Macaca fascicularis: one gene and its partners. The protein of the gene in region 2 interacts with the protein of the main gene of each other region in a pairwise test. Links are inferred from orthologs where the notes say so. Each region holds a gene or a part of one and is shown on either strand. Other genes may lie near its edges. The genes, in order: JADE2, PACSIN1, ANKRD24, EHBP1, COBL and COBLL1.

Region 1 (4,968 bases), on a different chromosome or scaffold from region 2:
ATGGGTTGGCTGCCGGCTGGGCACAGTTGGGTTAGGACTTCCTTTCTGCTCAAAGCTATTCTGCTGGCGTTCTCTCGGGCTGCAAGTACCAGGGCCATTTGTGGCTCAGGACACATGTTAGTTTTTGCCATGCCGTTTGTGTCTGAAGAATTTCTTTACTGGAAAAGAAAGGCCTTGGACAGGAGGCAGAGGGATGAAGTTGGTGACCTGGTGAGACCCTGATGAGTCTGCGGGCACTGTGGTTATAGAGGAGAGCAACCATGTTGGCAGGGCCTTGGGAGGCAGCGTGGCTGACCTTACCAGGAAGGTAAGACTCCAAGGAGGAAGGTGGGCATGCTGGGCTGATCTAACCAGATGCCCTCCCCTGGCCGCTCTGGCTCAGCCAGGGACCACAGGGCCGAGGCTGTGTGTGGCCTTAGGTTTTGTGTCCGAGACATGCAGCACAGGGCTGAGGATGCGCTCAGGGTCTGGAAATTGGTTTGCAGATGTTCTGGGCAGGATAGGCTATGGTGGTAACCTGTGCCCCCGGCGCTGCCTCTACCCATAGCAAGGTCCCCAGAGCTGGGAGGTCTGGGGTGGTTGCCTGTGAGTAAGGTGGAAAATCTCTCTTGTTTTCTCAGGTTAGAAATCTGTGCTACATGGTGACAAGGCGCGAGAGAACGAAACACGCCATCTGCAAACTCCAGGAGCAGATATTCCACCTGCAGATGAAACTTATTGAACAGGATCTGTGTCGAGGTAGGCGCCTTCCCCACCTGCCACTGCCACCTCCGTGTGCCCTCTCTTGCGGGGCTGGGTCCCAAGAAGGGTGTGTCTTGGGACCCTGGTAGGGTATCTGCGTGGAGCCAGGGGCCACTGGCCCCCACCCCTACCCTTCACCATCCAATTAGTCGGCCCAGACGGGGGCCTGCCAGGGTCCTGGGTTGTGTGTCACTAGGCAAAGAGCCAGAGGTTGGAATGTGGGCATCAGGCCTGCCCTCAGGGAGCTTTCTGGTTGACTAGGCCACAGCAGTTCAGGAGCTGATTGCATGTGAACAGGTACAGAGAAGAAGGCCTAGTGGCTTTCTGCTGGTGCTGAGGCAGGAAGACGCCAGAAGCTGGTGAGCTTCCCTGAACCCTGGTGTGCCTGGGAGTCAGTTTCGAAGAAGGCAGCTGCCCCAGAGATGTGATAGGACCTGGCTATTGTTTCTGTCTGACCCTAACAGGATTCTTGCACTGCATCTGCAGTGTTTTCCGCTGTTTTATTCTTATTCTTCGTATTCTCTTGGCGTCACATGTGTTCAATGGGTCTGGCAATCAAAGGCTGAAGGAAGCTCTGACATTGATCTTATCTGTTAATTGTGGATATTGCCAGACACAGGACCCTTCCTGGAGCGTATACATGTTAAGAAGGGCAACACTTAGCCCCCAAAGCGGTACCCCAGTGTTTGGTTTACATGCAGCAGAAATAGCTGGGTGGAGAGAGACCTTGAGCCTGGGTCTGCCAATGCCACTTCAGCCTCGGAGCTGAGCTGGGCCTGGAGTGGAGAGGAGGGAGGAAAGCTGCTGAGCCACCATTGGAGCAAATGACTGAGGACCTCTGCTGCCCCTACTTCTGCCTGAGAGCTGAGCTGACCTGATTGTGCTTTGGCATCACCATCCGCTCTGGCCCCAACATCTAGCCTTGCCAAGTTCAGGTGCTAGTCGTGGCCATGCAGAGCTCACCATGTACCCAAAGACTGTGGCAGCTTCCTGGCTGCTGGAGCTTTCCAGGCCCCCTGTCTTCTGTTTATTCATTCAGCCAGCATTAGCTGAGCATGGATTGGATAGGGTTCCTGCCCTTGTGGAACACACCATCTGGAGAGAGAAAGGAACGTGGTATCGCAGAGGCTACAGTTGCTGCCAGTGCAGGGATAGAAGTATCAGGGATGTCTTCCCAGAAGCAGTGATGCTCCGACAACATCTCAGGCCTCCTAGCACTTGGCTGTGGCCACATGTCGGCTGCAGAAGGAGAAGCCCATGCAAGGCACCCACAGTTGAGGAAGCAGAGGGTGGCAAGCCACGAGCAGTGCCCTCAGGCACAGGATTCCAGAAGCATGGTCAAGAGCCTGGAGGGTTCACATCCCCGCATTGGTTCTGGGGACATTTGCAACTCCTTGTCTTGAGTGTCAACAACAGGCAGCTGTTTGTTCAGGGCAGGGCGGGGCATTTGGAGATGACTGGTTTGCCCTGTCCAAAGCTGCTGCTCACACTGTTGGGAGGCTTGACGCTTGGGGTGGGTCATGGGCTGTGTGCATATTGGTGAGGCTGTCTGGCTTGGCGGCTAGAAAAGGCCTCCTAGTGGAGATGATATTTGGGCTGTGAGCTGAATCAGATGAAGGATAGGACAAGAAAACAACGTATTTGGAGACTTAGTGGCCACAGCATGTCTTGGCAGAGAAACTGGAAGGAGGCTGGAATGGCTGCACCGGGCAGAAGGAAGACACCTAAAGTAGGGGTGATGGGTAACCAGGGTCACATGTGCAAGATCTTCTTGTAGCCTGGGGGAGGAGCTTACACTGTCCTGAGAGCAGTGGGGAGCCTCTCCAGGAGCCTGCCTCCAGAGTGTCTGGGCATTGGTTACATGCCATGTTACAGATGAGATTGCCCAGGCACGGTGGCTCATGCCTAAAATCCCAGCACTTTGGGAGTCCACAGTGGGAAAATCCCTTGAAGGCAGGCGTTCCAGACCAACCTGTCTGTACAAAAAAAAATTACAAAAATTAGCTGAGCATGGTGACACATGCCTGTATTCCTAGCTACTTGGGGGAGCAAAAGTAGGAGGATTGCTTGAGCCCAGTAGTTTGAGGCTGCAAGTGAGCTATGATTACACCACTGCACTCCAGCCTGGGTAACAGAGCCAGGCTCTGTCTCTAAAAAATAAATAAATAAACAGATGTGGCCAGGCACAGTGGCTCACACCTGTAATCCCAGCACTTTGGGAGGCCAAGGTGGAAGGATTACTGGAGCCCAAGAGTTCAAGACCAGTCCGGGCAACATAGTAAGATCCTGTCTCTACAAAATTTGAAAATTAGCCAGGTGTGGTGGCGTGCACCTGTAGTCCCAGCTACTCAGGAGTCTGAGGGTAAAGGATCACTTGAGCCTGGGAGGTCAAGTCTGCAGTAAACTATGATTGTACTACTGTGCTCCATCATGGGCAACAGAGCAAGACTCTGTCTCAAAACAAACCAAAATAGATGAGACTGAGGCCTGGCCTGAACTGAAAGGATACAGGAGCCAGGGGTGCACCCTGAATCTCCCATCCAGTTCACTGCCTGACTTTGAAAGCCAACCAAGAGACCAATGCAGGAGACTGGTTCAGGGGAGCTGACCCTGGGGTTAGGAATGGACCCCAAGCCTCTCGACCCCTCAGATAGTGTTCCTTCCACTGACATGTCTAGCTCCTCAGCCTGGCATTCAAGGCCCTGACCTGTCCAGACTCCCCTCCAGCCATTCTTCCCACCACCCACACTCTCTCCCAAGGCTGCAGGTTGTGCGGGTCAGACTAGAGTCCAGGTCCTGCAAGGGCCTCTCCTTGTGGCCCTGTGGCCACCCCAAGTCCCCCACAGGGCACAGTGGACAATTGGCTCACCCCACCATGCCAGCCGTCCCCTGGCTCCAACCTTTTTGCTGTGGAGGGTGAGCACTGACTGATGGAGGACTCCTGGGCTGCCACGCAGGGATCTTGGTGCTGACTGAGGCCACTCAGGATAACCATATCCCTCCTCCTCTCGCTTTCCCTGACACAGAGCGGTCTGGGAGGAGAGCAAAGGGCAAGAAGAGTGACTCGAAGAGGAAGGGCTGCGAGGGCTCCAAGGGCAGCACTGAGAAGAAAGAGAAAGTGAAGGCGGGGCCTGACTCAGTCCTGGGGCAGCTGGGTGAGTGAGGGCCATGCTGGCCTGCAGACACGGGCAGGCTTGACCATCACCACACTTGCAGCTCTGCTCTGCAGAAGGCCAGCTGCACAGAATAGGAGACTGAGGCTCAAGAGCGGTAACCAGGCCCTTGCTTGCCCAGGTGCACACACCTTCCACCCACAAAGGAGACAGATCTCAGAGCCCCGTGTGACATCCTGGGAAATGCCCCTTATGTAGACCTGGATGGAGGCTGGGCCACGCCCATTCAGGAACTGTCCAGTCATTTCCCTGGCTGGATCCTGGTGGCTGGATTTTCCCAGAGTCCCCCAGGACAGCCCGCATGCTGGGAGGGGCGGATCTACCAGAAAGCCCCATCCTTGTCTTACTCTCCCAGAATCCTCTAAATAGGCCCTTCCTGTAACAGCAGCAGACTTTCCTGGAGCTACCCAGAGATACCCAGAGGAGTGGCTGCAGGCCCTGGCCCTGCCCATCACCTCCACTGCCCAGGCCTCCTGTTAGGCAGAGCAGCCTAATGGGAGCATTGTGACTCATGGACCTCATGTGCTTCCTCCAGAGATCTCGGGGAGCATCATGGAGTCCCCTTCCAGACCTTGCCTCTGGGACAGAGGCCCCAGGTCATCCTTTCTGTCCCTCTGTCTCAACAAGGGGACAACCCAGGCATGGTGGTGCATGCCTGTATTCCCAGTTCTCAGGAGGCTGAGTTGGGAGGATCACTTGATCCCATGAGGCTGAGGCTGCAGTGCACCATGATCATGCTACTGCACTCTAGCCTGGGTGACAGAGCAAGACCATGTTCCTTCATTTCACACCCCTCCCGCAAAAAGAAGGGGATAACTTGGGTGTGTAACAGGAAACCCAGTCTCACGTCTCACCAGCTGTCCCTTCCCAAGACCTCGGTAAGGGAGGAAGGATCTGCCTCCCTCACATCTGCTGGCATCTCACTTGCCTCCTCTCTCCCCTGACATCCAGGAGGGACTGGATACTGCTTGCTACCCCTATTCGCGCCTGATCCCTTTATCCAAGCTCTTTGCTGCAAGCTCTGGGAGTCAATGCTTATAAAGACCGAGTGCCC
Region 2 (4,968 bases):
CAGCTGCTGGTAACGGCTGGGGGTTCCCTGGACCCCCAGGTTGGGCTGAATCTTGCAGAGGCCAGCCCTCCCTGAGCATCCACACTATCAGGGTTCATAGTCCTGGGACTGCAGTGCAGAAGCAAGAAGGTGTCCCCTGGTGCCTGGATCCAGCTAGTGGCTGGCAGCTCACAGCCTGGCCAGGCCCAGCCTGGACTCTGCTGCCTCTTTGAAAACCAGGCCCCTGGCCCTCTTGAGTCCTGGCTCCTGACTACTGAGCCATTCTTGCCTGGGGTAACAGCGAGGGCTGGCTGGGGAGGGGAGGAGGGGAGTACCCACCTTGGCCCTGGGGCAGCGCACAGCCTAGATTGGATAACCGTGATGCCTGCTGACAGATCCAGGGCAGACACAGCCACCCCAGATGCTCCCATAGATCTCCGTGGTGTGACCTGTGAGATCTCGGTGGTGTGACCTGTGGGCCAGGACGCCACACATTGGGATTCCCAGGAGATTTGTAAGGAGCTAATGGGGGCTGCTGAGGTTGGCAGCAAGGGCAGCCAGAAGGGCATTTACAGGGTCCCGGGGCTCAGATAACTGAGGAGGCGCTGAGCCTGGGCTCCAACAGTTCAGGAGACAGAACCAGCTCTGGGGGCTGGGGCTGGGGCTGGCTTCTGAGTGGCGGTGCTCATACTGGAGCTAGAGGATGGATTCGAGGGAGGGGGAAGGAGGAGGGATGGGGAGTTGGGCATGAGGGTGCTACAGGGCGACTCTTAGGGTTACCCTAGGTCTGGTGAGCTAGTTTCTGGACAGGAAGCTGACATCCTAATGCAAGCCTCCTCCCATGGAGCCCCTATCCCATCGGGTTGGGGACCCAGGACTGGAATGGGGCAAAGGGTGGAAGGCCCTTCTCTCATCTCCATGGATCTCTCTCCTGCCCTCCCAGTGCATGAGCAGCTGAGCCTGCTAACCGCAGCTCCGCACTTGTCCATCCCCCTGCGGCTACACCATGTCCGGCTCCTACGATGAGGCCTCACTGGCTCCAGAGGAGACCACCGACAGCTTCTGGGAGGTGAGGCTCTCATGATCTCCAGGTTCTGGGGACCAGACAGCCTGGCTGTTTGGAGGCCAGGCTCCCCTATTACTCACCCCATGACCTCAGGCCCCACTCCCCAGTCCCCCAGGCCCCTCCAAAGCCCTGGGTGTCCAACAGGCAGCGGTAGCCATGAAGTGGCCCAAGAGCACTGCCCACTGAGTCAGGAGCCCCTCTCTCCCCACAGCTGCCCCCAGAGAGAGCCTGTGGCATTTCACAATGTGGGAACAGGCCCTTTGTGACTCTGGCACTTCCATCAGGCAGGTACAGCACAGCCTTTCCCAGCTGTTCCTGTTTCCCTCGCTCGCCCCCGATGCTGAGGTGGGCAGGGGTGGAGCGCTGGACACAGAGAGAGGGAGTGAGCTCCCAGAGCCCCACGGGGCCCCTTCAGGCGCGGCCAGAAGCCAGCATTTTCAGAGCCTTCGGAAATATTTGAGACCTGGAGGAAAAAAATTGCTATTGGCTCCTGAAACCCAAGACGAAAACTGCCAAACCTAAATTAATAAGCGTTTAATGAGATGTCTACAAAACATAATATTATGTCAAGAAGCTGCAGCTCAACTCAACGCTTATATGACTCTATATAAATATAATAGATTTAACTCGCAAAAACAAAATGAATAATTCATTCCAGCCCAAGTCCAAATTCTAAAAATCCTTCTGCATTTTGTGGCAGCGAGGAAATCATGTTTAAATTGGGGTGAGGGTGCGTGTAGACGGTGGGGCCTGACGCAGGGTGCTGGAGCCTCCGAAAGTCAGTTTCCCTGCTGCGTTGCGGCTGGGCAGCGGGGCTGGGGGCGGGGGCGGGACCGGAGGCCGTGGGCGGGACGGCGGGGCGGGAGACAGTGGGCGTGGCCGTGCTGGTTGCGGCGGGCGGGGCAGGGGACGCTAGGAACCCGCGGGAGTGGTGCTCGCTGCTTGGCCGCCAGGTGGGGAACTACAAGCGGACCGTGAAGCGCATCGATGACGGCCACCGTCTATGCAACGACCTGATGAACTGCGTGCAGGAGCGCGCCAAGATCGAGAAGGCGTACGGGCAGCAGCTCACGGACTGGGCTAAGCGTTGGCGCCAGCTCATCGAGAAAGGTGCTCCCCCAGGCTCACATCCTGCGCGCCCCCAGGCCATCACCCGCCCCCTCGGTCTGGGTCCTGGGAGCCCTGGATACTTGCATGCACCATGCCCTGCATCTACCAGCCATAGGACCTTTTCAGGCTCTGTTCCCTCCTAGATCAAACCAGGCTTACCTGTTCATCTGTATTTTGTACAACTTTAGGTTGGATTAAAAAAAAAGCAAAACACTTTTTATCTTGAAATAATTCAAACTTTGTGTGAAAGCTGCAACAGTAGCACAGAGAATTCCTACACACCCTTCCCCCAGACTCACTGGCTCCACGTTTGTTTTCTCACCGACTGTTTATTGATATGCATATGTTCCGAACCTTTTGAGAGTAAGCTGGAGCCATTATCCGTTTACCCCTAAATTCTTCATTATCTCCTAAGAACAAGAGCATTTGCTTATGTAACCAGAGTTCAACTACCAAATTTGGGACATGAATACAACTCATACACAGATTTACCATAACAATTGTGCTTGCTAGTCCAGGATCTAGCGCAGTCGCACATTGCCTCTATGCATCGTGTCTTCAGGTTCCTTTAATCTAGAACAGTTTCAAGTTGCGGTTTACATATACTTGTTCGTGTTATTCTCTTGCAGTATACTCTAAACCCCATGAGAGCAGGGGCTGGGCCTGCACCACCTAGCACAGTGCCCTGCACAGAGCTGGTGCCAGTACACAAACAACAAGTCAATGTGGAATGACTGGTCCCCAGTGGCCTCCTGGCATCTGTCACAAGCTTCAGCTAACATTCCTAGAGCACCTACTGTGTGCTTGGCGCTGTGCTGGGCTTGTCAGAGCTCACAGGGTCCAGGCTGCCCCCCTCTGACCCCACTCTGTGGGGCTCACACGTTGACGGGAGAGATAAAGAGGAGGGAGGTACAGCTGCAGATACTGTGAGAAGAATGCAGCAAGGGCTGCAGGCCGTGGCAGTTGGGTAGAGCAGTCAGGGAAGGCTTCCTGGAGATAGTGGTTGATGTGGGCCCTAGAGGATGGGGCCATGTAGAGCAGAGGAGGGCATTTCTGTTGCTATGGCAGGAAGGGGAAAGCCTCAGAGAAGGGAGGTGTGAGGGGGGCCTCTGGGCAGGGGGCAGTGAGGTTCCTGTGACCTATTGCCACTCCCTCAGGCCCACAGTATGGCAGCCTGGAGCGGGCCTGGGGTGCCATAATGACGGAGGCAGACAAGGTGAGCGAGCTGCACCAGGAGGTGAAGAACAACCTGCTGAATGAGGACCTGGAGAAGGTGAAGAACTGGCAGAAGGACGCCTATCACAAGCAGATCATGGGTGGCTTCAAGGAGACAAAGGAGGCTGAAGATGGCTTCCGCAAGGCCCAGAAGCCTTGGGCCAAGAAGATGAAAGAGGTGCTCAGTGGGTGCTGCCACGGGTGGGGTGGGGTGGGCCCGTCTGATCAGAGGGTGCTGATCCCAAGGAGGGCATCTACGGATGGGTGGGCTGGGCACTGCCCTCCGGGATTGTGCCCACAGGGGAGCAGCACTGCCTTCCAGGAAGAAATATTCACAGATGGGTGGGCAGTGCCCACTGGGTAAGGAAACCCATGGGCAAGAGGGCACTGTCCCCAGGAAAGATACCAGCAGCGCAGACGGGCACATTGGCCCCTGGCTCCCCAGATGGGGTGGGCACTGCACTGCCTGACAGGAGGGTATCTGCAGGGGAGCAGGCAGTGCTAAGCAGAGACAAAGCCACAAATGGAGGAGTGCTGCTCCTGAACATCTGGAGCCAGGGCTTGCATCCTTTCTGGCTCTTAAGAGTGTGGGCTCGGCCGGGCGCGGTGGCTCAAGCCTGTAATCCCAGCACTTTGGGAGGCCGAGATGGGTGGATCACGAGGTCAGGAGATCGAGACCATCCTGGCTAACATGGTGAAACCCCATCTCTACTAAAAAATACAAAAAACTAGCCGGGCGAGGTGGCGGGCGCCTGTAGTCCCAGCTACTCGGGAGGCTGAGGCAGGAGAATGGCGTGAACCCGGAAGGCGGAGCTGCAGTGAGCTGAGATCCGGCCACTGCACTCCAGCTTGGGCGACAGAGTGAGACTCTGTCTCAAAAAAAAAAGAGTGTGGGCTCACAGCTCCCAGGGAGTGGGCAGGGGAGGAGTTGATGGATGACCATGTTTGCTGCTGGTCACAGATGAAAACCCTACTCCCTATTCCCCCCTCCCCACAGCTGGAGGCAGCCAAGAAGTCCTACCATTTGGCTTGCAAAGAGGAGAAGCTGGCCATGACACGGGAGATGAACAGCAAGACAGAGCAATCGGTCACACCTGAGCAACAAAAGAAGCTGCAGGACAAAGTGGACAAGTGCAAGCAGGATGTGCAGAAGGTGCTGGCCGGGCCGGGATGGCAGCAGGGGGTCTGGGGGTCCCCTTGCAAAGGATGGTGGCTGGGAGCTGCAGGCCTGGTTAGGTGTCACCCTCTCTCCATTCTGGTGCCCACAGACACAGGAGAAGTACGAGAAAGTGCTGGAAGACGTGGGCAAGACCACACCCCAGTACATGGAGAACATGGAGCAGGTGTTTGAGCAGTGCCAGCAATTCGAGGAAAAGCGGCTGGTCTTCCTCAAGGAGGTGCTGCTGGATATCAAACGGCACCTCAACCTGGCTGAGAACAGCAGGTACCTGGGCATGGCAAGCACCGAGGGCACAGGCACAGCCAGCAGTTGGTGTGACTGGCATGCAGGGCATCCCAGCCCTACATCATAGTGACGGGAAGGGGAGGCAGAGCTGCAGGGGTCAAGAGGGATGAGGCTTCAAACACAGCGGCTGATG
Region 3 (3,663 bases), on a different chromosome or scaffold from region 2:
ATCCCAGCACTTTGGGAGGCCGAGGCGGACGGATCACGAGGTCAACAGATCGAGACCATCCTGGCTAACACGGTGAAACCCCGTCTTTACTAAAAGTACAAAAAATTAGGTGGGTGTGGTGGTGGGTGCCTGTAGTCCCAGCTACCCGGGAGGCTGAGGCAGGAGAATCGCTTGAACCCGGGAGGCGGAGGTTGCAGTGAGCTGAGATTGTGCCACTGCACTCCAGCCTGAGCAACGGAGCGAGACTCCATCTCAAAAAAAAAAAAAAAAAAAAAAAAAAAAATTCCCAGGCAAGGCGGCTCACACCTATAGTCCCAGCTAGTCAGGAGGCTGAGGCAGGAGAATCACTTGAACTTGAGAGCTGGGAGGCAGAGGTTGCAGTGAGCCAAGATCACCCGCTCCAGCCGGGGTGACAGAGTGAGACTGTCTCAAAAAATCTATCTGTCTGTCTGTCTGTCTATCTATCTATCTATATCTATATATATATTTTTGTCTTTTTACATAGATATAGATATAGTTATAGATATATGGAAATATGGCCAGGCACTTTGGGAGGCTGAGGTGGAGAACTGCTTGAGGCCAGGAGTTTGAGGCTGCCCAGTGAGCTATGATTGCACTACTGCACTCCAGCCTGATAGCACAAGATCCTGTGTCCAAAAAAAAAAGGGGGAGTGGGTACCAGGAGCAGTGGCTCACATCTGCAATCCCAGTATTTTGGGAGGTCCATGTGAGCCCAGGAGTTTGAGACCAGCCTGGCCAACATGGGGAAACTCCGTCTCTAATAAAATACAAAAATTAGCTGGGTGTGTGGTGGTGCGTGTCTGTAATTCCAGCTACACAGGACGCTAAGGCACAAGAATTGCTTAAACCCGGAAGGCTGAGGCTGCAGGGAGCCGAGACTGTGCCACTGCACTCCACCTGGGTGATGGAGTGAGACCCTGTCTCAAAAGAAATAAAGGAAATATTTCCTGGCCGCACCATGCAGGTGATGTGGACGCCACCGACCCACCCCAGCCCCTCTCCTGGGATCCCCACCCATGCTGTGCTGATTGGTAAATATTTGGACTCCTCCATCCTGATGGTCCCGCGGCCCCCGCCCGGCCCGGCCCTTACCTGCAGCTGCTGCTGTAAATCCTTCACCTGGTCACGGAGGGCCTCCACCTCGGGGGTGGCCAGGGCGGCCGGCTGCTCCTTCAAGGCCTCCTTAAGACTGAAGACTTCTTTGGAGAGTTCTGTGATCTGGGGGTGCGAGTGCTGTCAGCCATCACCCTGGGCCCAGGGCTGGGGGCTGAGGACCTCTCTGCAGCCGCAGGAAAAGGCCAGGGATAAAGGCCTTCGAGGGAAGGTCCTGTCCCAGGCAAACTCTGGCCTGAGTGCCACGTCTGGCCCACAGCCTGTTTTAATTTCATTTATTTATTTATTTATTTATTTATTTATTTCTATTTTAGATGCTTATGGTTACCAGCACAGCCTGTTTTTATACAACCCACAAGCTAAAATTGGTTTTCACGTTTTTTGTTTTTGTCTTTTTTTTTTTTTTTTGAGATAGAGTCTCGCTCTGTCACCCAGGCTGCAGTGCAGTGCACTGGTGTGATCTCCGCTCACTGCAACCTCCGCCTCCCAGGTTCAAGCAATTCTTCTGCCTCAGCCTCCTGAGTAGCTGGGACTACAGGTGCCCATTACCACGTCTGGCTAATGGTTATATTTTTAGTAGAGACGGGTTTTCGCCATGTTGGCCAGGCTGGTCTCGAACTCCTGACCTCAGGTGATCCACTTGCCTCGGCCTCCCAAAGTGCTGGGATTACAGGCGTGAGCCACTGTGCCCGGCCAAGTTCTTAACTTAGTAGTAGCTGTGATCCTCCACAGAAAGTATGTTTAAACTGTGCCTGGTCAACAGTAGGCACTCAATAAATGCAGGGCCTTATTATTACTATACATCAGGGGTTTTCAACTTGAGGCAATTCTGCCCCCCAAGGGGACACTGGGTGTTGTGTGAGGACAACACGACCTGGAGGAGCTCTTGGCATGGAGTGGGTGGAGGTCAGGGATGCTGCTCAGTCCCCTCCAATGCCCAGGACAGCCCCAGCCCAGGAAACGATCCTGCCTCGACATCCACAGTGCGCAGGGGAAGAAACCAGGCTATAGATAAACCATCATCCTAACTGCAATTTTGCCCTCTGTTTAGAGGCGGAAACTGAAGCTCAGAGAGGTGAAGTGTCTGGTCTAAGGTCACACAGTGAGTCGAGGCTGGGTCATTCTTTATGCTGAAGCGCCTGGGACTCTGGGTGTCTCATCTCCTGTCCAGTGACATGTTGCGTGATTTTGAGCCACTAACTTCATCTCTTAAAGATTCAGTTTGCTCATCTGGAAAATGGGGACAAAAATACTTTCTGAAACCAGGTGCAGTGGCTCACGTCTGTCATCCTACCACTTCGTGAGGCTGAGGCAGAAAGATCACATGAGCTGAAGAGTTTGAGACCAACCTGGGCAATATGGCGTTTGAAACCCTGTCTCTTACCAAAAAAAACAAAAACAAAAACAAAACAGGCTAGGCATGGTGGCTCACGCCTGTAATCCCAGCACTTTGGGAGGCTGAATCACCTGAGGTCGGGAGTTCAAGACCAGCCTGGCCAACATGGTGAAACCCTGTCTCTACTAAAAATACAAAAATTAGCCAGGTGTGGTGGTGCATGCCTGTAATCCCAGCTACTCAGGAGGCTGAGGCAGGAGAATCTCTTGAACCCAGGAGGCGAGGTTGCAGTGAGCCGAGATTGCACCACTGTACTTCAGCTTGAGCGACAGAGTGAAACTTTCTCTCAAAAAAAGAAACAAGGCCGGGCGCGGTGGCTCAAGCCTGTAATCCCAGCACTTTGGGAGGCCGAGACGGGCGGATCACGAGGTCAGGAGATCGAGACCATCCTGGCTAACACGGTGAAACCCCGTCTCTACTAAAAAATACAAAAAAAACTAGCCGGGTGAGGTGGCGGGCGCCTGTAGTTCCAGCTACTCGGGAGGCTGAGGCAGGAGAATGGTGTAAACCCAGGAGGCGGAGCTTGCAGTGAGCTGAGATCTGACCACTGCACCCCAGCCTGGGCAACAGAGCCAGATTCCGTCTCAAAAAAAAAAAAAAAGAAGAAGAAACAAAAAAATTAGCCAGGTGTGGTGGCACACACCTGTAGTCCCGGCTACTCAGGAGGCTGAGGCAGGAGGATCGCTTGAACCCAGGAGGTCAAGGGTCCAATGAGCTGAGATTGTGCCACTGCATTCCAGCCTGGGTGACAAAGTGAGACCCTGTCCCCAAAAAAAAAAAAAAAAGGCTTTCTGGCTTTTAGAGTTGCAGGAAGATTAAAAATGGTAACGTGTAAGGCCGGGCGCAGTGGCTCACACCTGTAATCCAGCGCTCTGGGAGGCCGAGGCGGGTGGATCACGAGGTCAGGAGATCGAGACCATCCTGGCTAACATGGTGAAACCCCATCTCTACTAAAAACACATAAAAAATTAGCTGGGCGTGGTGGCGGGCACCTGTAGTCCCAGCTATTGGGGAGGCTGAGGCAAGACAATAGCGTGAACCTGGGAGGTGGAGCTTGCAGTGAGCCGAGATCGCACCACTGCACTCCAGCCTGGGCGACAGAGCGAGACTCTCTCTCAAAAAAACAAACAAAC
Region 4 (5,571 bases), on a different chromosome or scaffold from region 2:
TTATTAACAGCACATAACTTTACATGCTTTCAGTCCTGCCTGACTCTCAAACCTCACATCTCACTGCATGACCCCCAATCCTACACTTTAAACCCCATTAATATCAAACTATACTACTTGAATTTCCAGCACATCCCATGCTAGGTAAGCCTCCATGCTTCTGCATAGGTTGTTGCTTCAGTCTAGAATGTCTTTCACTTCTTCCCCCTTGGCTTCCTGGACAACTATGAATCTTTCAAAACCCAGCTCAGATACTAGGAAGCCATCCCAACAACTCATCCTCTACCCTTAAAGAACTGATTGTTTTTCCCTCTGCTACCTCTGTATGTAATAATGGCATCTATTAGGCACTATGTCCCTGACACTGTTCCAAGCATTTTACATGTATTAACTCATTTAATCTTCACAATTACCCTCCCTATGAAGTGGCACCATTATGACCTTTATGGCTATGGAAATTTGAATCACAGAGAAGTTAAATAATCTGTCCTCAAAGATACTCAACTGGATGAAGACAGATTAAAATCGTTATGTCATACATATTTATACTACCGCATCTCTCACAGTAAATTTATTCATGTGACTCTTACACTAGACTGTACACTCCTTGAGGACAGGGATTATGTCATATTCTACTCTAAATCCACAGTACCTGGTATAAAGTAGGTAATGAGTGCATGCATTTCTCAAACTGATTTTAAAATAATATTCCTAACAAGTTGAAGAGAAAAGCATTCAGAAACTAGTTCCAAATAAATATTCAAATATGCTATGAGTTCTAGAATAGAGCAAGCTATGTTTTTAATCTAATAAAAAGGATGTTAAAAAGAAAGGTTATTACAGACCTGAATTACAGTCCTTGTGGACAAAGAAATGGGCTTATTTTGCAATTAAGTCCATTACTGCTTAATCACTGCAGTAAATCAAGGCCCAAACGACCATTTGCTTAAAATTAACTTTTTTATCCCACTAAATTAAAAAATTTTGTTGTTTATCATTCAGGGCAATGGAAAGAAAGCCCTATATTTACTCTTCTCAAGTGGAAAGAAGCCAATCACAGACCAGCACTACTAATTGCTTCCTTAAATCTGGCCAAGAAATGTATCCCATTAGGCAATTAAAATAAAATACAGTTGCCTGAGTAAGCATTTAACAAAAGAATTTCTAAGGTTTTGTGGATGGCAGTCCATTAATCAAATAATGAAAAATTCTTTATCCTAAGCAAGGAAAAATGAAAAAACAAGAAAAAAAAAAGATTACCATCACCCCACAAGAATATAGACTTCTATATTAAAACTCAATTCAGTCATATGCCTATGTTATATTAAAGCATATGCATACATGCTCACAATATTTCAGTAGCCATTCTTTGTCTCCTTAAAATTACAAAAATCAAAGTTATTTTAACACTAATGATGAATAACCTCAAAACCAAATGTACTGTATTTAGTGTGCTCTCACAGTTACAGTCCTCTGAGCCATACTGAAGTGCAGTAATTAAAATCCACAGGGATGATACTAGCTGCAACTGTGCACAGCATAGTACTTGTTAGAGTTATCTGCACCCCACCCAGCTTCTACACATTAGTGCACTGTAGAAAGGTAAATAAACTATCAGAAGACCCAGAGTTTAGGCCACAGCACAGCAAACTCTACCTCCACATACATCTTACCATTTCTTCGTACACTCAACCATCAGCTCCTGGTAGGAGGCCACAAACTGGAACTTGGATGCATGTTTTCCCACACGCTGCAGTCTCTTCCAAACTGAAGCCATGATGATCAGTCAAGACACTGGAGCAGTTCTGGGTTAGCAATACAGCAGCTTTAATAATGCAGAGGGTCCAAAGCAAACGAACTTTGCATGTATGTCTTTTAAAAACTCAACTACAACTCGAAATGATGCTTGGGGTCCATAAGTCTTCTCCCTGTTTCACAGGGTAAATTCCATCTTAGATGAATGGCCCAGTCAAGAACACTATGATATACGTGACAGGATGAGTGGGAGGGGGTTCCCTCATGGAGACATCACCATGCCACCTCAGGGGCTATATGTGTATTCTGGAGGACTGAAAAGCAAAACAAAGACAAAAAGAGAAAGAATATGAGGAGAGAATCATGAGAAGTGACTAACCACCCATGTTAAATAACGCTGCAAAAGACCATCCCAGTTCTCTGCATGTCTTTTAAACAATGAAACAAAACACCGACCTCAAAAGCCAGTAACATCAAGGATGCAAGACACCAAGGAAGAAATTACAATTCACACCGAAGACGTGGAGCGACACATCAGGTAGTCAGCATCAACAACAATCCAGAGAGATGGTAACTCGGGGCCCTACCTCCCCGTTAGCATCACAGAAGGGCGAGCAGAGCGGGAAAGTCTAGGGATGCTGTTTAATGTCCACCGCCAGTCAGAGGGAGGAGTGGAGTATTTTTAATAAACTTTGTTTTTCAGCCGATAATTAATAGCCTCAAGTCCGACAATATGTGCTTGGAACAAATTAGGGAGCCAGGAGGAATGCTGTTTTTCAGTCGGAGGGAGGAAATGGATGGGAAACGAGGAGTGGAGGGAAATCTCCAGGCAGAGAGAGGGCAATGTCCCGGCTCCAGGCCACTTGGGCTCCTTCGCTGCCAACCGGAGGGAAATGGAAACTCCTGCCTGGGCGTGAAGCAATGACCAGCGGGGCAAGTGGACTGTGCAGGGTGCGGTGCCTCCCTCCCCCATCCTCAGGGGAACAGTCCGCCGGAGCCCAGTCTCCTCACGCACAGAGCCCAGACCCCTGCCCCCCAGCGGAGGCAGGCGGTGGCTCGTCCGCGGTCCCTGTCACCCAGGCGATACCAGAAGACCCCAGCCCGGACCCCAAGCCCCGGCCCCGCCGCTCGTCCACTCCCGCCCCCTCCTCACACCTCTAATCCCGCTGTCGGGTTGTGTCTGGCCCCGTTCCCTTCTCAGAGGCGCTCCTCCGTCGCCGCCGCAGCAGCAGCCGCCGCCGCCGCCACCGAGTCCTCCATCCCCGCCGGAGCCACATGGAACAGCCAAGCCAGCCACGGCGCTCGCGGGAGCCGGGATCTGCAGCCCCTCAGGCGGACGGCGCCCCTCACGCCCGCCCCCTCCCTGACAGATCGCCCCGCGACCGTCCCCCACCCTACCAAACCCTGCCAGAGCCGCCGCTCAGCGCCCAGCACCCCCTCCCCCGCCTTCCTCCTCCGCCACCATCATCATTACCTCCCCCGCCGCACCTCTCACACTAACCCTACCCACCGCAGCTGAACCTCCACCGCCCCGCCGCCATTGGCCGGGTCCCGCGCGTGCCCCGCCCACCTCAGCGGCCGGGTCTTAGAGTGGCTGGGGTGCCTGACTGGTAGAACTGCCTGCCCATCAAAGGGGCTCCACCTTCCCCTTGCTTGGGAGGTGGTTTTTCTCCAAGCCGGAACGCGACGCACAGGCAACCTTTTTGTAAAAAAAAAAAAAAAAAAAAAAAAAAAAAAAAAAAAAAGGAACCGACTAAGTACGATCCCGCCCGTTCTTCTGATTGGCTTGGAGAGGGAAGCGATAGGCGGGAGGAATAGGGAGTGTTTATACTGAACTGGAAGGTGATTGTAGAAGGTGGCTGTCCGTCAAAGGCGCCGCCGGTGCCGGGCTGGGTTTCTGGACCCTAAGGGTGATTGCAGACCTGGAGACTGGCTTCGCAGCAGCTGTGGGCAGTGCGGCTGCCTGTGGGTTTCTCTCCTGTTCTCATCTCCGCGAGGACCTGGGCGCGCCCTCTCCTCCACCACTGGCAACTAGGGTTTTTGCGCATACAGCCTTTATTTCACCAATTCCTCCTGGGATCTTACCTGACAACCTGAAGTAATGACCCTGTCAGCCACCCCCCCTCAACCCGCTCCCCGCCCAACATTGAGTCAACTGGTCTTCAAGAGGATTGATCAGCTGAGCTAGACACAAAATGTGTACAGTACAATTTCTTCTTGTTCGGAGTCTTCACGTTTCTTTGAATCTTGGTTTCTCCTCTTCGCTGTCGGACTCTTTTGCCCCCAGTGAGAACTGTAGATGGATTTGGGAACAGCTAGCGTACAAAAAGGGTAGTCAAAGGCAAAAAGGAGGAGGCAGAGTGAGGGCAGGGACACTTAATCTTGTTAAAAGAGCCAAGGGCCCTTTTGAGAACATGAAAGCTACAGATACTTTCTCAAGGGGGAAAAAGTGTCCTGTCTCAAAACACAAAAATTTGTTTTCAGTTTTAGATGGTTCACAGACCTCTGGCGTAGAGAAACAGGACAAAGAATGAAACTTCAGGGGAATCCTAGCATTTAAGGAATAAAATTTAAGAGTAAAATGGGAAAGAGACTGAGAAGGAATAATCAGAGAAGTAGGCGCATCAGCAAGCAATGGGCAGACAGTTTGGGGAGAAAAAGAGAGGCAAGCTAACATAAAAAGAAAGGAAGCGGGATAGGCTCTGGAAACAAGGATCGTTCAGTCTTACGAAAGTTGGAAAGCAGGGTTCATGGACAAAGTAGCTTGAAAGGTGTTAGGGTCCAGGGAGGATTCTTTCAGGGACAGGGAGAGCAGTGGTGAGTGAGAATTGAGTCCATCTATAGACACTGGGGGCCAAGACAAAGTGGAGAGACATGTTGAAGAATCAAGAGAGATGGGGAGACAGATAGATGGAAGGCTTGAATCCAGTATCTAATTCAATTTCCACTTTCAATAAAGAAAGTGATCTAATAACACAAGAGCACAGTGTGCATTTTACAGAAGAGAGCATAGTTATCGCTTATTTTGCTAGTCAATTCTAAAATGTTACAATAATCGTAATAATCATATTGATTCTTTTGTATTAAGAGTTCTCTGATGTCCTTCCTGAGTAGTTTACGAAGTCACTACAACCTATAGCCGTTATGATCTCATATAATAATATATTCTGCATCATTAATAGGCTTTAAGTGTGTGGAGTTCTTTAATGGCTAATTTGTAGAAATGGTCATAAATTATTTTCATCCAAGTTACCCTTCAGAAACAATCCACATGATGATCAGAAGGTTTTTGCACCCTATTTATTACTGTTCTTCGTAAGTTCTCAAACTTTCTCATGTGGTCATTCTGGTTTCTTTTAACATGCTTCCCTTACTCAAAAGGGAGAGGGGGAAGAGAGAGAAAAAAAGAGACTGACTTTTATTGTAAAGAAATTCTCTTAAAAGTAATGTTTTAAATAGTGTCTTTTAAAAAATAAATAAATAAAGGAGTAGGATCCCTAGGGAATCTTCCTCAAGTTGTGGGAAATTTCAAGAGACTGATGGTTTCTTATGACAGCTCTTCTTTTTAGGGGAAGTATTTGTCTTGGATGTAAACTCTTATTTTTCCTTCTAGACACCAAGGTAGCTAAGAAGAGATCAAGGTTAGAATAGTTTACTAAATGAGTGAAGGAATCAAGAACAGCTCTTGACACTGTTCTGCCGCTGACCTCATGTTCATAAGCTGTCTCCTGGAGGCCCTACAGAGCAGCTACTTCTTCCCCTGTAACATTTTTAAAAACAACCTGTCTACTAACTAAATTTATTGAAGAATATTAA
Region 5 (4,968 bases), on a different chromosome or scaffold from region 2:
TGTGGCTTTCTGTGCCAGACCCTTCTGGAGGATGGGAAGGCTTGCCGCGGCCTGGGGCATGCACAGAGCCATTGGCCAGCTCCCTGCTGCAGGCCTGGGCATTGGACATGTGTGGAGGGGGTGGGTCTGTACCATCAGGTGCGTGTCTGGGTTCAGATGCTGAGTTGGCCTCCTGGTGACTTGTGCTTTGCTTTCCACTGAAACCACAGCTCTGTCCCACAGAAACACCATCCCTCTGGGAAGACGGAACCAGTGAAAAACAGGAGCTTCTGTGGATAGCAGCAGGTCCATCCTGAGTATACAACTTCCTGTGTGGGCTGCTGACCTCCCTGCTAGGAGGGGCTCCCACTGCTGAGTCTTCCCCATGGTTGTCAGGAGGAGTGACACAGGGCCGCTGGGCACCGTCCTTCCAACCTTGTGTCTCTGAGTGTGGGCTGGAGGTCCTGTCATCTTTCACAGTTACAGGTGGTGCAGCCAGCACTGGCACCCTGCCTGCATAACCCTTCTCGGCATGGCCGTGCGGCCTTACCACGTCAGCATGGACTTTCGGGGGTCCTATGCGCTTGGCAATGGCAGAGGCCACATACTGGCTGGATGTTCTTCTCTGAGGCTTGAGAAATGTGACTTCTGTGTTGTGAGCTGCTGGCACCTTCACGTGACGCATGCCCATGGTGGGGGGCTGGCTTCTCCCCTCCTCGAGGGGGTTCCGGCCCTCATGGTGGGCAGACTGCTCCTGGGGCAATATTGGCTTGGGGTCTGCTTGGTGTCTGCTCTCTGGATGCTGCGTCTGGGTGCGCACAGGCGGGGAGGAGGGTCCCCTGGCAGAGTTCTCCGAGGGCCGACCCAGGTGCTTTTCCACAGAGTTGCACCTCCAGAACTCTTTGACTTTCCCAATGGGCTGAGATTCTGCTTCAGGCACAGACGAAGACAGGGAAATGATCCTGATGCCGGTGGTGTGGGGATTCACCAAGTTCCCCAGCTCGTCAATCTTAATGGCGCCGGTGGAGAGGGACACGTCTCTGTCGTAACATCGCATCTCTGACTTTGGAGGAATGATTTTATATGTTGTGAGGCCGTGCTTCAGTCTGTAGCTTCTCCCTGGGTTTTGGCCTCGTTGGTGCCATGACGCTGGTGCCAGGGCAGCGTTTTTATCATTGCCCTCCTTTTCATTCACTGGTTGGGAATTCACTCTCTCTGTGGCCTGAGTCCTTTCCCCGTCAGCACAGCCATGCACTTTGTCTTTCACTTTTGCATTTAGGTTGTCTGTGTGAAGATTCGAAGCACAAGAAGTCACCCTGGGCGCTGTTTCCATTAGATTTCCGTCTTTACAGATGTTGGATAAGGCCACACGGATTCCTTTTCCCATGTCATGGGAAGCGGGGTGCAGGGCAGGTACTTCCTCCCTTGCCTTTCCAGGGGGCTGGCTGTGCTCAGCCTGAAGTGGCGCCAGGGAGGCTCTCCTGCTGGTAACACCCTCCGAGTTGAAAGACCCAGCATTGTTGTTTCTATTGGAAAACAACCCCGAATCCACAGGATCATCTGAAACTTCCCCTATGAATGTTACTGGGATTGCATCTGTGTCGCCGTGAGGGACCATGGCATCCTGTGGGCAGTGGTTGGATGTACCATGGATGGAGCTGGTAAGGGAGCTGGTGTCGGTTTCATAGCTGTCTTCCATTTCTGCAAAGAGGGACAAACACAAATCACAGAGGTTTCCCACGCCAATTACTTAGTGTAATTGCAGCCATGACTTTGATTTCCCTGAGGTTACTGTTGAATACATTATTTACGTACGTTTTAAAATGTTATTTGGGTTTGTAATCTACATAATATGCCTGGGGCCAGAATCTCAACTTTCATTACTCAACACAGCTGTTTGCAGATCCATGATGTTTCAAGGCAAGGTATTCAGTTACAACGTGCTGCCAACATCCTTCACTCCTGGGCAACAGAGCGAGACTCCGTCTCAAAAAAAAAAAAAAAAAAAAAAAAAAAATCGATTTCTAGATCCAAGCCTCTGGAAAAACTATCTCAACATAGAAACATGAAAGTGAGTTTTGGGTTTTGACCTCCATGTTTCTCATGTCCACTAGAAGCACAACAGAATCCAGAGGACCACGGGCTCTAGCTTTAACTTCTTAAGGAAGCAGATGACTAAGTCTTGAGTATCTCAGAATTACCATTGCTCTTCCAAGCACCAAACGATGCAATGGTCATGGGGTCAGAACCTGCGGGACACACTATGGCTGATTCAGATTTTTAGCTCTGTCAGCTATACATTCTCAGGACAGGAAACTGAAAAGTGAGTCAGACAAAAACAACCCGTCAGTTTTGCAGTCTGTTATCTTCTCTCTCTTTTTAAGGCATGATAAATATCTAATTTTTAGTTTATTTTCAACATATGCCTTGGAGAAAATAACATAGCTGCTTTGTTTGAAAGATTCCCTAGCTGTTTACTGCAATTATTTGCCATCTGCTTTGGCCTTCCAGTATTATTTCCCCAAAATATATCAATATAATAGCAGTGCCATGAGATGCTCCATTATAAATGGCTTCATTGTGGTCAAAAGGCTATTTCTCATTGAGATGCCATATATTAGCAAATCAAGAGAAGTCTTAATGAGGAAATCTGTTTATCTTTTGCACCACCCTTTTTATTCTTTAGCATGTGCAGCATACTTTTTAATGCGCAGAATTAGTATTATTCAGAGCACACTGTAAGCAGCTGTCTGGATGTTTCCAGGTACTGCTTGGCGGCCCAGATAAAAAGCAGTCTACTGGAAAACTGTGTGTGCCTCACATCCAGGCTTTCACCAAACTGGACTGGAATTCCTTCTGAAGGCCATTTCCTCACGTAGATACATCAAAGTATGCTCAGAGGAAGTTACTGTTGGCACCTACTTTCATGCAGCATAATATCAAAGTAGTAGATCAGGTGGTTCTTACCTTCCAGGTCTTCATCAAGTTCTGCAAGGGTTTTATGGAACTGTCCAGTAATTAATAGGTCTTCTTCATCATTTGAGGCTGTGGCAGCTTTTTCAGTTCTGGGGAAGACCAAAGAGAAAGGAGTACTCATTTCTCTTACTATTGATTTAATGTACTCCTTTCCAGGAATATCTGAGGATAGAACAGCTCACACTCAAATTCAAGCAGTCACATACTCACTGTACTGCTGCTGTCCTCAGAACTACGGAGACGCAGATTGTTCATGGGTGTGTGTGTCCCCCGTGCGTGTGCACAGGTGTGTGTGGGATGCAGGTGCCATGTGTGCATGTGTGGAGTATATGTCTTGCATGTGGTGTGCATGTGATATATGGTGTGTGTGTGGCCCCAAAGTGTTAAAAGTAACCAAACCACACACAGCTTTCATTCACTCTGCAGACTGAAGTCAAAGTTTTAATTCCATTGCACAAAAGACAGGTTCATGTGATCCAGGATTTGCTTGCATCTCTGCCTCGCACTACAGCAAGTTCCCTGCACCTGGCACCTGGCAAGAAGGAATGAAGCCATCTGGAGGCCAAGTATGTGCACGTGGCTGGGGGCTGGTCCACCTCACCTTGACACTGCACAGCCTGGCTGTTCCTCGGCACTTGGGGATTTGAGTGCAGCATCGTTCGAGGTCCCAGTGATAAAGGCTACATACCTCTGGCGCAGGATCTGCCTGCTGTTAGGAGGCCCATGGGGAGGGTTGTGCAGGGCTGCATGGAGGAGGGTTCCCAGAAGTCCCACCAACTTCATAAGCTCAGCCTCCATTTGTGTCCCCCCTAGCAGTGGCCCACCCTGCCATACTCAGAAAACGAGAAATTTCACTGCCCGACTATAAATGACTTTTACAGACTCTATGTTTACTTTGGCTTAATTTCTACCCTGGGTGGGTGACAGGGAGCCTGATAATGCCACTTGCAGGGGCAGGGCTTGGGGGCTTGATAATGCCCATTGAAGAGCTGTACTCCCTGGGATCTTGAACTGGGACATAAAGATAATGAGGATGGCCAAGAAACCTCACAGCAACAGTAACAGGAATAACCGCTCCACCCTTGACCCTGCAAGCCCCTTCCCAAGGTCCCCTCTCAGACTCAACAGGAGGAAGCTCCTAGCAGCGTGAGGCCTGCCTGCATGCCTTTGTGCCAGCCCCCGAACACAGCTCTTTTGCACCAATTATCTTCTTATAACCCTCACAGACAGTTTTTCAGGTAGGTAGTGTTGCTGTCACTGTGGTACAGAGATGAAACAGAGCTGCCCAGGTCACACGGGCATCCAGAACCAGGCCTCCTGCCCCAAAGCCCAGGAATGACCAGCTGCATCTGGGGCCACAACACATAATAATGTGGCCCCTGTGGCACGGGGCAGCCAGGAAGATGTCAACCCGTCTGCTCAGAGAGCCGGATCTGGCTTTATTTGCGTCACAGGGACAATGGCATCTGTGAGACAACTGCTGCCAAAACAATTTAAAAACTGTCTTTGCAAGGGCTCTTGCCTCTATTTTCCTATTGTGCAGAAAATACAGAGACATGTCTATGGCAATTGTCTATCTTCAGTGAAAGCTGAAGGTTTGTTTTCCGCTGATTGTTAAAAATTGAGGACCAATTTCCATCATTGCTAATCAGGCCCAGATAATGATGCATGAAATAAGCTTTGCACAACCCTCACGTAGCAAAGTTTTTATTCTGATAAATGAGTCTTTCTTATTTGGTGACTATGTCCATTTGGGAGCCAGGAAGTGGCTTCCAGATTAGTCTCAGCTAATGTCCTCTGACAAGCTACACAAAGGGGGCTGGTTGGAGATGTGTGTGCATGTGGACCCATTAATAAGGACCACAAGAGGTGCATGACTGTCTTCCCTATTACTTTTGCCACGGACTTTAATTATTTGAATGCACTTTACTAAAGTTGTGCTTTTCTCTTTCATGAAATGTGATGGTTTAAATATATTTAAATTTTTAATAAAATATATGGCAGAGAAAAATG
Region 6 (5,533 bases), on a different chromosome or scaffold from region 2:
ATTTCATGTCTGTTCACATTTCCACTTACCAAAGTCACAGGGTCATACCTAATTTCCATGGGGTGGAGCATATATTTCTCCCTAGGACCAGAAGGAGGAGAGCAAAAAGTGGTGAGCACTGAAAATGCCTTCAGCGGTTATGAAATGTTATGAAAATGTTTTATGACTAAGATAAGGCCTAATCTTACTAGTATTAGGGTCCATAATATTACTAGTATGTCGTACATTAAGGCTGAAACTAATTAAAGATTTAATCTTGTCTTGTGATTGAAAGTTATGGACTTTCAAGTAGTTTCCCTGTTACTCAATATTTGCATCATTGTCTGTGCAAGCAACTGTAAAAGCTTGCACAGCTCCGTGTTCAGAAGCATAAATGATTCATGAAATTGTTTAACTAGAGTTATTGTTTAAAGACTAAAACCCAGAAGTATTTACATAAATTGCTTTACTCTTAGTTAAAATCTCTAAAAGCAACTTTTTCTAATATGGTTCCAGTATTGCAATCCAAATGAGTCATGTGTTTTTCTTTTCATATTTAAGATGCACTGAAAGACTACATTATGCAGTGAAAGAAAGAAATACCAATGCCTGCGTATGATAGACAAATGGCACACTGCTAGGTATTTAGTTCAGCAACCTTTTTTGTTGCTGAAATGGATAAACAACTAAAGGAGCATTAAAATCAATTTAATTTTAATACCTGCCAAATGTTATTCTATCAGTGGCTAACACAGGTTTATTACTTGATGTTAGTACTACAACAGAAGTCCCCTGCAGGATGTTCCTTCATGTAAGATCTCTCCATCAGTTTAATCCAAATATGTTTTTAAAACTGTAATTTTAAGTTGATTTCTTAATGTCATATGGTTTTCTGAAAACACATTTTTGGACCCATCAGAATGGCTCGCATCTTAAAACAATTGGCACTTATGAAAAATATAAAATATGTAAATAATTAGGGTGGTGCAAAAGTAATTGCGGTTTTACCATTACTTTTAAAAATGGCAAAAACCGCAGTTACTTTTGCACCAACCTAGTACCTGTCTGTCAGGTGTAAAGAATCATGTAAAAGGCATGCACGTGGATACTAAAACGTTCAAACAAGCACACATCTGTGTCTAATTCCTTTACCCTTGTAAAACTTCCAATAAGTGAATACAATCTATCAGTTAATTCTTAGTTTATAGACTGTCATCAGACATTCTGTTGTCCAGTTCTCATGTCAGAGCTGTTATAGGCTTTTACAAAAAATGCCTCTGAAGACAGGGCAAGCTTAAACCTGCCATCAATTAGAAAGATCTGTGTCACAGGTGCACTTTTAAAAGAATGGCAATCTTAGAGGTCAAGTTAAAAACACAAATTTAAAAAAAAAAAAAAACAATCCTGGACGTCGAGGGTCAGACTCCAGGGAGGGCAAGCTGCAGGTCCCACTCTGCGAGTTTCTGTCCTCATTCCGCGGAGGCCCTAATCCTCCCCGCGGATCCTGGCAAGGCAGGTAACCTCCCTTCCCCCACACCTGTCCGGCTCGGGCGCACCAGCCTTCCCCAAGCGCAGCCCTAGCGGTGGGAATGGGAACACCTCGTCTGGGAGCTTCCTTTCGGTTCAGCTTCCCCAGCCGGACCCCAAAGACCCGAAGCCCTGGGGGAAGGAAATTCCAACTCGCTCCCGGCCCACCCCCGCCCCGTTCCTTTCTCCGGCTCGCTGCTTCCCTCGCTCCGATGCCGCCGAGCTCGTCCCCACTTCTGCGCGGCAGTGCTGCACAGGCGGCGGCGAGCTCCCGGACTCCGGGCAGGGAAATGGGGCAGGGTGAGTGAGAGATCGGGCTCCAGCGAGGCCCCCAGCGCCCAGCGAACGCCCGCACCCCGCCCGCGGGACAGGGGAGGCGCTGAGTCGGCCCTGCCCGCGCTGGGCTGAGCCTCGCAGGGGTTGCCGCTTCTCCATTCAAGTCCTGGCTTGAGAGCCGAGCGGCAAGAGCGCGGGCCGGGGGAGGGAAGAGTAGGAGAGGAAGCCGCGAGGGAGAACAGGCGAGCTACTGTCTCCTTTGGGAAAGAACGTAGGAGCCTTGGGTGGGAAAAGAGAGATCAGCCCTTCCAACTTCTCTTAGGGAAAAGTTTTCCCGGGGCGTTTTGTTTGTGCAAACTCGGCCGGAGGAGCCTGGGAGTGCGCTGCCGGCGTGGCGGCGGTGCCCGTGCGCCCGGCCCCGCTCTTCTCCCTCCCCGAGAGGCGCCAAATGGCTACCCAGTAAACCCCACGGGGCGGGGGCTGCAGCGCCGCCGCCTCCTCTGCGGTGCTCTGGGCGCCCGCTAGACCTTGCAGCGACGGCGGCGGCGCCCGCGGGCTGGGAGCCGGGGCCCGCAGGTGGAAGCGCACCCGGGAGGCGGGCCGGCCCGGGCTGGGGCAGCGCGGGCGGGCTCTTGACGCTCAGCCAGCTTCGCTCCGGCCTCGGGAAGGCGTGCGTCCCGCCCTGACCCGCCGGTCTCTCCCACCCCAGCAGTGACGCGCCGCCTGGGAGCTGGAGCCCGCGCAGCGCCCCGCAGGGCGATGGACGGCCGAACCCCGCGCCCGCAGGACGCCCCAGTCGGGTAAGCCCAAAGCGCCGCGCCGCCCCTCACTGGGGAGGGCGAGGACGGCGAGGATAGCGAGGCCTCGGCCGTTTCACCTGGCTGGCAACTCGCTGCCCTGCCGGCGGCCTGACTCACTGGCTGTCCTCCACGCGGCCGGGGAGGCTGCTTCCTCCCGGCCTTCTCGGAGGCCGCCCGGGCGGAGGGCTCGGGTCGTTTCTGGTTGCCTTCCTACCGGGGCTGCCCTGGGTTCCTGAAGGCCAGCTGAATGCCAGGAATTGGGTGAGGAGTCCGAGAGCAAAAATTGTAACAAAGGGGCCCTTGTTTGGGCTCTGGGGGAGCGGTGGACGATACCTGTAAGTGAGCTCCTGGGGAGGGAGGGCAAAAGTTTCCTTGGCCATGGGCTGAGACCCAGGCAGGTGAGCAATGCCAAGGTGACTGTAAGGAGTGGGCTTTCTGCAGGCGGTTGGAGGGGGACAGGAGGGTGTGCCAGCTGTCAGCCCGCATGACAGTTCCGGGAGCGAGCGGGGTGCGCGCCTCTGACTGGGGGTGTGTGTGCCTGTGGCCAATTACTGGTGCCAAAACCCAGGGCAAATCAGATTGCAAACAACTCTACTTTTCTTTTTATCCTCACATGTTTGAGAAGAGAGGAAGGGGCTGTCACATGGTGAGTTAATGTTAAATGAGGCATGTCTTCCTGCCAGATATGCTAATAGTCACCTTGCTAAGCGTTTGAGTAAACAGCAGTGAGAACAGGTAGTTCTGCAAGAGATGAAGAAAACCCGAAATTAACCTTGGTCTTGGTAAATAGTTCAGGAGTAACCTGGATGCTAGTTGAGCTTCTGAAGTGGGAAACTCATTTGATGTAGTACAACTTCTTTTCCCCCCAGCGTTAAGTGTTCCTCCAACAGTTTATTTTCTTAGTTAATCTGAACGCAGAAATGCCCAATTGAGAATATGAGCATTCCAGAAATAGAAACGTTAGGGAAAAATCGACGTTGTCACTAATGAATGAGACTTGTACAATTTTCCTGATTTAAGAGTGTAGAAGTCATTTTTCCCTGGAACATGACAGGCGTTTCCTTAGAAGCAAGTCACAGCATGTTTATTCATCAGAGACCATGCGAACATTGGCAGTTGTCTAGAGGAAACATGGAAAAGTCTCAAAGCAACATGACTAATCTAAAAGATATTTAGTATAATTTTTACATAGAGGAAACGTAGTATGTGAATTAATTATTTCATTTTGCTCCAATTAACTTTCTCCTCTCTGCAAATATTCCTCTCGCTGTTGACTTTCATTTCTTTCCCCAGGTTTTTCATTGTTTAAATATTATCATATCTCCTTACATATATTCTCACATTAGGATGAGTAAAGAAATATATTGGTAGAAAGATATTGAGCATACAAGCAAGATTCCTAAGTGGAGCTGCAGAATTATGTGAATTGACGAGACAGCTGTCAGGATACTGAAATGTATTCAGGGATTGCAAAATAAAATAGAATTAAATCGGGTTTGGAAATGGATTAGGTTAAGGTACTTTCAAAAACAAGAAAGAAAAACATACCTGCTTTCACAAAATACACCCATGGGTGTTCAGAAGTCACTGGGGACTTTAAGTAAATAGGTGAGGTCAGGTGGCTCTGTGTTGAAGAAACAGAAAAACACTTTTTGCTGGCAAGCATAACTATAGTAAGAACCTTCAGACTTTACTCTTGGTATTTTATTTTAATGTAGAGACGAGGTCTTGCTATGTTGCCTAGGCTGATCTCAAACACCTGGCTTCAAGCAATCCTCTAACCTTGGCTTCCCAAAATGTTAGGATTACCAGTGTGAGCCAGTGCGCCCAGCCACTTTTGAGAATTTAAAGGTTAAACTGATAAGTTATTTGCTTAAAAAGGAAGTACAAAAGAGCTTTATCTAATTTGTCAAACATCTTTAAAGGACTTTTGCCCTCCCCTTTTCAAATTTAAGTAGGGAAAATGTGTCAACACCTTATCTAAAATAACACAGTAGTTCTATCATTTTACCTGACATTATTCTATTCAGAGAAGTGATCATTACCTGAAAAATATCAACATTAAAAAATTACCTCTCTACTTCATTTGTCTTCTTTCACTTGTCTAACTTGTCCTTTGGCATATGCCTGTCATATAAGATTTGTTGAATATTTAATATTCAGTATTGCCTCTGTTCTTTCTCAAAAACCCAGAATATAAAAGGTTTAAATTGGGGGAGAAATATCTAGACAAGGATATTTTGGAGGTGGCAGGCAGCAATCTTAATATGTTATAATTGTTAGGTTTTGGAGGAAAATTTCTTGCTATAAAACTGACTAATTATATCATAACTCATAACTTTAATAGACAATGAAGCCTAGTTTAGTCTTTATCCTTGGATATTACTGTTGGAAAGAATTCCTCTGTAATTTTCCAAGTTTTACATTGTTGTAACATGTCATTTTAACATAGCACCAAGTTTTGTTCTCCACATTTTATAAATGAGACTCTGAAGCTCAGAAACACTGAGTGAGTGTGTTGAAGTCCCAGCAAATTAGTAGTAAAACCAGAAGAAAAACTCTTAAGTGCCTAGTTCATTTTGTTAATTGCTTTTAATCTTTTCTTGACCATGGTATGATATAACAATCTACATTTTAACAGATAACTTATATTTAACCATTAACTCTGTAATATTTTAATACATTTCAGGAAAAATGTAGTTAATATCCTTATCCTCACTTTTATTAATTCTATGATAAATTAGCCCATTCGGGGAATGATTGATTATTTTAGGAAAATAAAATAGTATTATGGCCTCTCCGCTGCTGCTTTTTCTTTGAAACATTCTAAATAATAATTGTAACATCAAAAGGGATAGTTTGAAGGTTTTTTGGTGCCTTCCCGCATTTAACTCGCATTTAGCGTTCTACGACATTGTGAGTTATGTGGGTTGGGTGTCATTTTCTTTTCA

The links.
Region 1: the proteins of PACSIN1 (region 2) and JADE2 interact in a two-hybrid assay, tested with the Homo sapiens proteins (2 studies listed by BioGRID and IntAct). The link is inferred for Macaca fascicularis from reciprocal best matches to the Homo sapiens genes PACSIN1 and JADE2.
Region 3: the proteins of PACSIN1 (region 2) and ANKRD24 interact in a two-hybrid assay, tested with the Homo sapiens proteins (2 studies listed by BioGRID and IntAct). The link is inferred for Macaca fascicularis from reciprocal best matches to the Homo sapiens genes PACSIN1 and ANKRD24.
Region 4: the proteins of PACSIN1 (region 2) and EHBP1 interact in a two-hybrid assay, tested with the Homo sapiens proteins (2 studies listed by BioGRID and IntAct). The link is inferred for Macaca fascicularis from reciprocal best matches to the Homo sapiens genes PACSIN1 and EHBP1.
Region 5: the proteins of PACSIN1 (region 2) and COBL interact in binary tests that used the Homo sapiens proteins (3 or more experiments, as listed by UniProt). The link is inferred for Macaca fascicularis from reciprocal best matches to the Homo sapiens genes PACSIN1 and COBL.
Region 6: the proteins of PACSIN1 (region 2) and COBLL1 interact in binary tests that used the Homo sapiens proteins (3 or more experiments, as listed by UniProt). The link is inferred for Macaca fascicularis from reciprocal best matches to the Homo sapiens genes PACSIN1 and COBLL1.

What each region holds. Positions count from the first base shown.
Region 1 is NC_088380.1:141,115,247-141,120,214, forward strand, and holds part of JADE2 (E3 ubiquitin-protein ligase Jade-2), read left to right. Parts: intron 1-620; coding exon 621-738; intron 739-3,767; coding exon 3,768-3,896; intron 3,897-4,968. UniProt on the Homo sapiens protein: Scaffold subunit of some HBO1 complexes, which have a histone H4 acetyltransferase activity. Acts as an E3 ubiquitin-protein ligase mediating the ubiquitination and subsequent proteasomal degradation of target protein histone demethylase KDM1A.
Region 2 is NC_088378.1:137,164,605-137,169,572, reverse strand, and holds part of PACSIN1 (protein kinase C and casein kinase substrate in neurons protein 1), read left to right. Parts: intron 1-922; 5' UTR 923-985; coding exon 986-1,048; intron 1,049-1,998; coding exon 1,999-2,155; intron 2,156-3,312; coding exon 3,313-3,548; intron 3,549-4,367; coding exon 4,368-4,523; intron 4,524-4,638; coding exon 4,639-4,814; intron 4,815-4,968. UniProt on the Homo sapiens protein: Plays a role in the reorganization of the microtubule cytoskeleton via its interaction with MAPT; this decreases microtubule stability and inhibits MAPT-induced microtubule polymerization.
Region 3 is NC_088393.1:4,961,895-4,965,557, reverse strand, and holds part of ANKRD24 (ankyrin repeat domain-containing protein 24), read right to left. Parts: intron 1,240-3,663; coding exon 1,114-1,239; intron 1-1,113. UniProt on the Homo sapiens protein: Component of the stereocilia rootlet in hair cells of inner ear.
Region 4 is NC_088387.1:59,235,648-59,241,218, forward strand, and holds the start of EHBP1 (EH domain-binding protein 1), read right to left. Parts: upstream 3,434-5,571; 5' UTR 3,326-3,433; intron 3,315-3,325; exon of another isoform or gene 2,212-3,314; intron 2,070-2,211; 5' UTR 1,778-2,069; coding exon 1,674-1,777; intron 1-1,673. UniProt on the Homo sapiens protein: May play a role in actin reorganization. Links clathrin-mediated endocytosis to the actin cytoskeleton. May act as Rab effector protein and play a role in vesicle trafficking.
Region 5 is NC_088377.1:79,403,475-79,408,442, reverse strand, and holds part of COBL (protein cordon-bleu), read right to left. Parts: intron 3,045-4,968; coding exon 2,947-3,044; intron 1,968-2,946; exon of another isoform or gene 1,889-1,967; coding exon of another isoform or gene 1,864-1,888; intron 1,681-1,863; coding exon 1-1,680.
Region 6 is NC_088386.1:60,394,765-60,400,297, reverse strand, and holds the start of COBLL1 (cordon-bleu protein-like 1), read left to right. Parts: upstream 1-1,672; 5' UTR 1,673-1,718; coding exon 1,719-1,806; intron 1,807-1,939; exon of another isoform or gene 1,940-2,053; intron 2,054-2,491; coding exon 2,492-2,582; intron 2,583-2,915; exon of another isoform or gene 2,916-3,039; intron 3,040-5,533.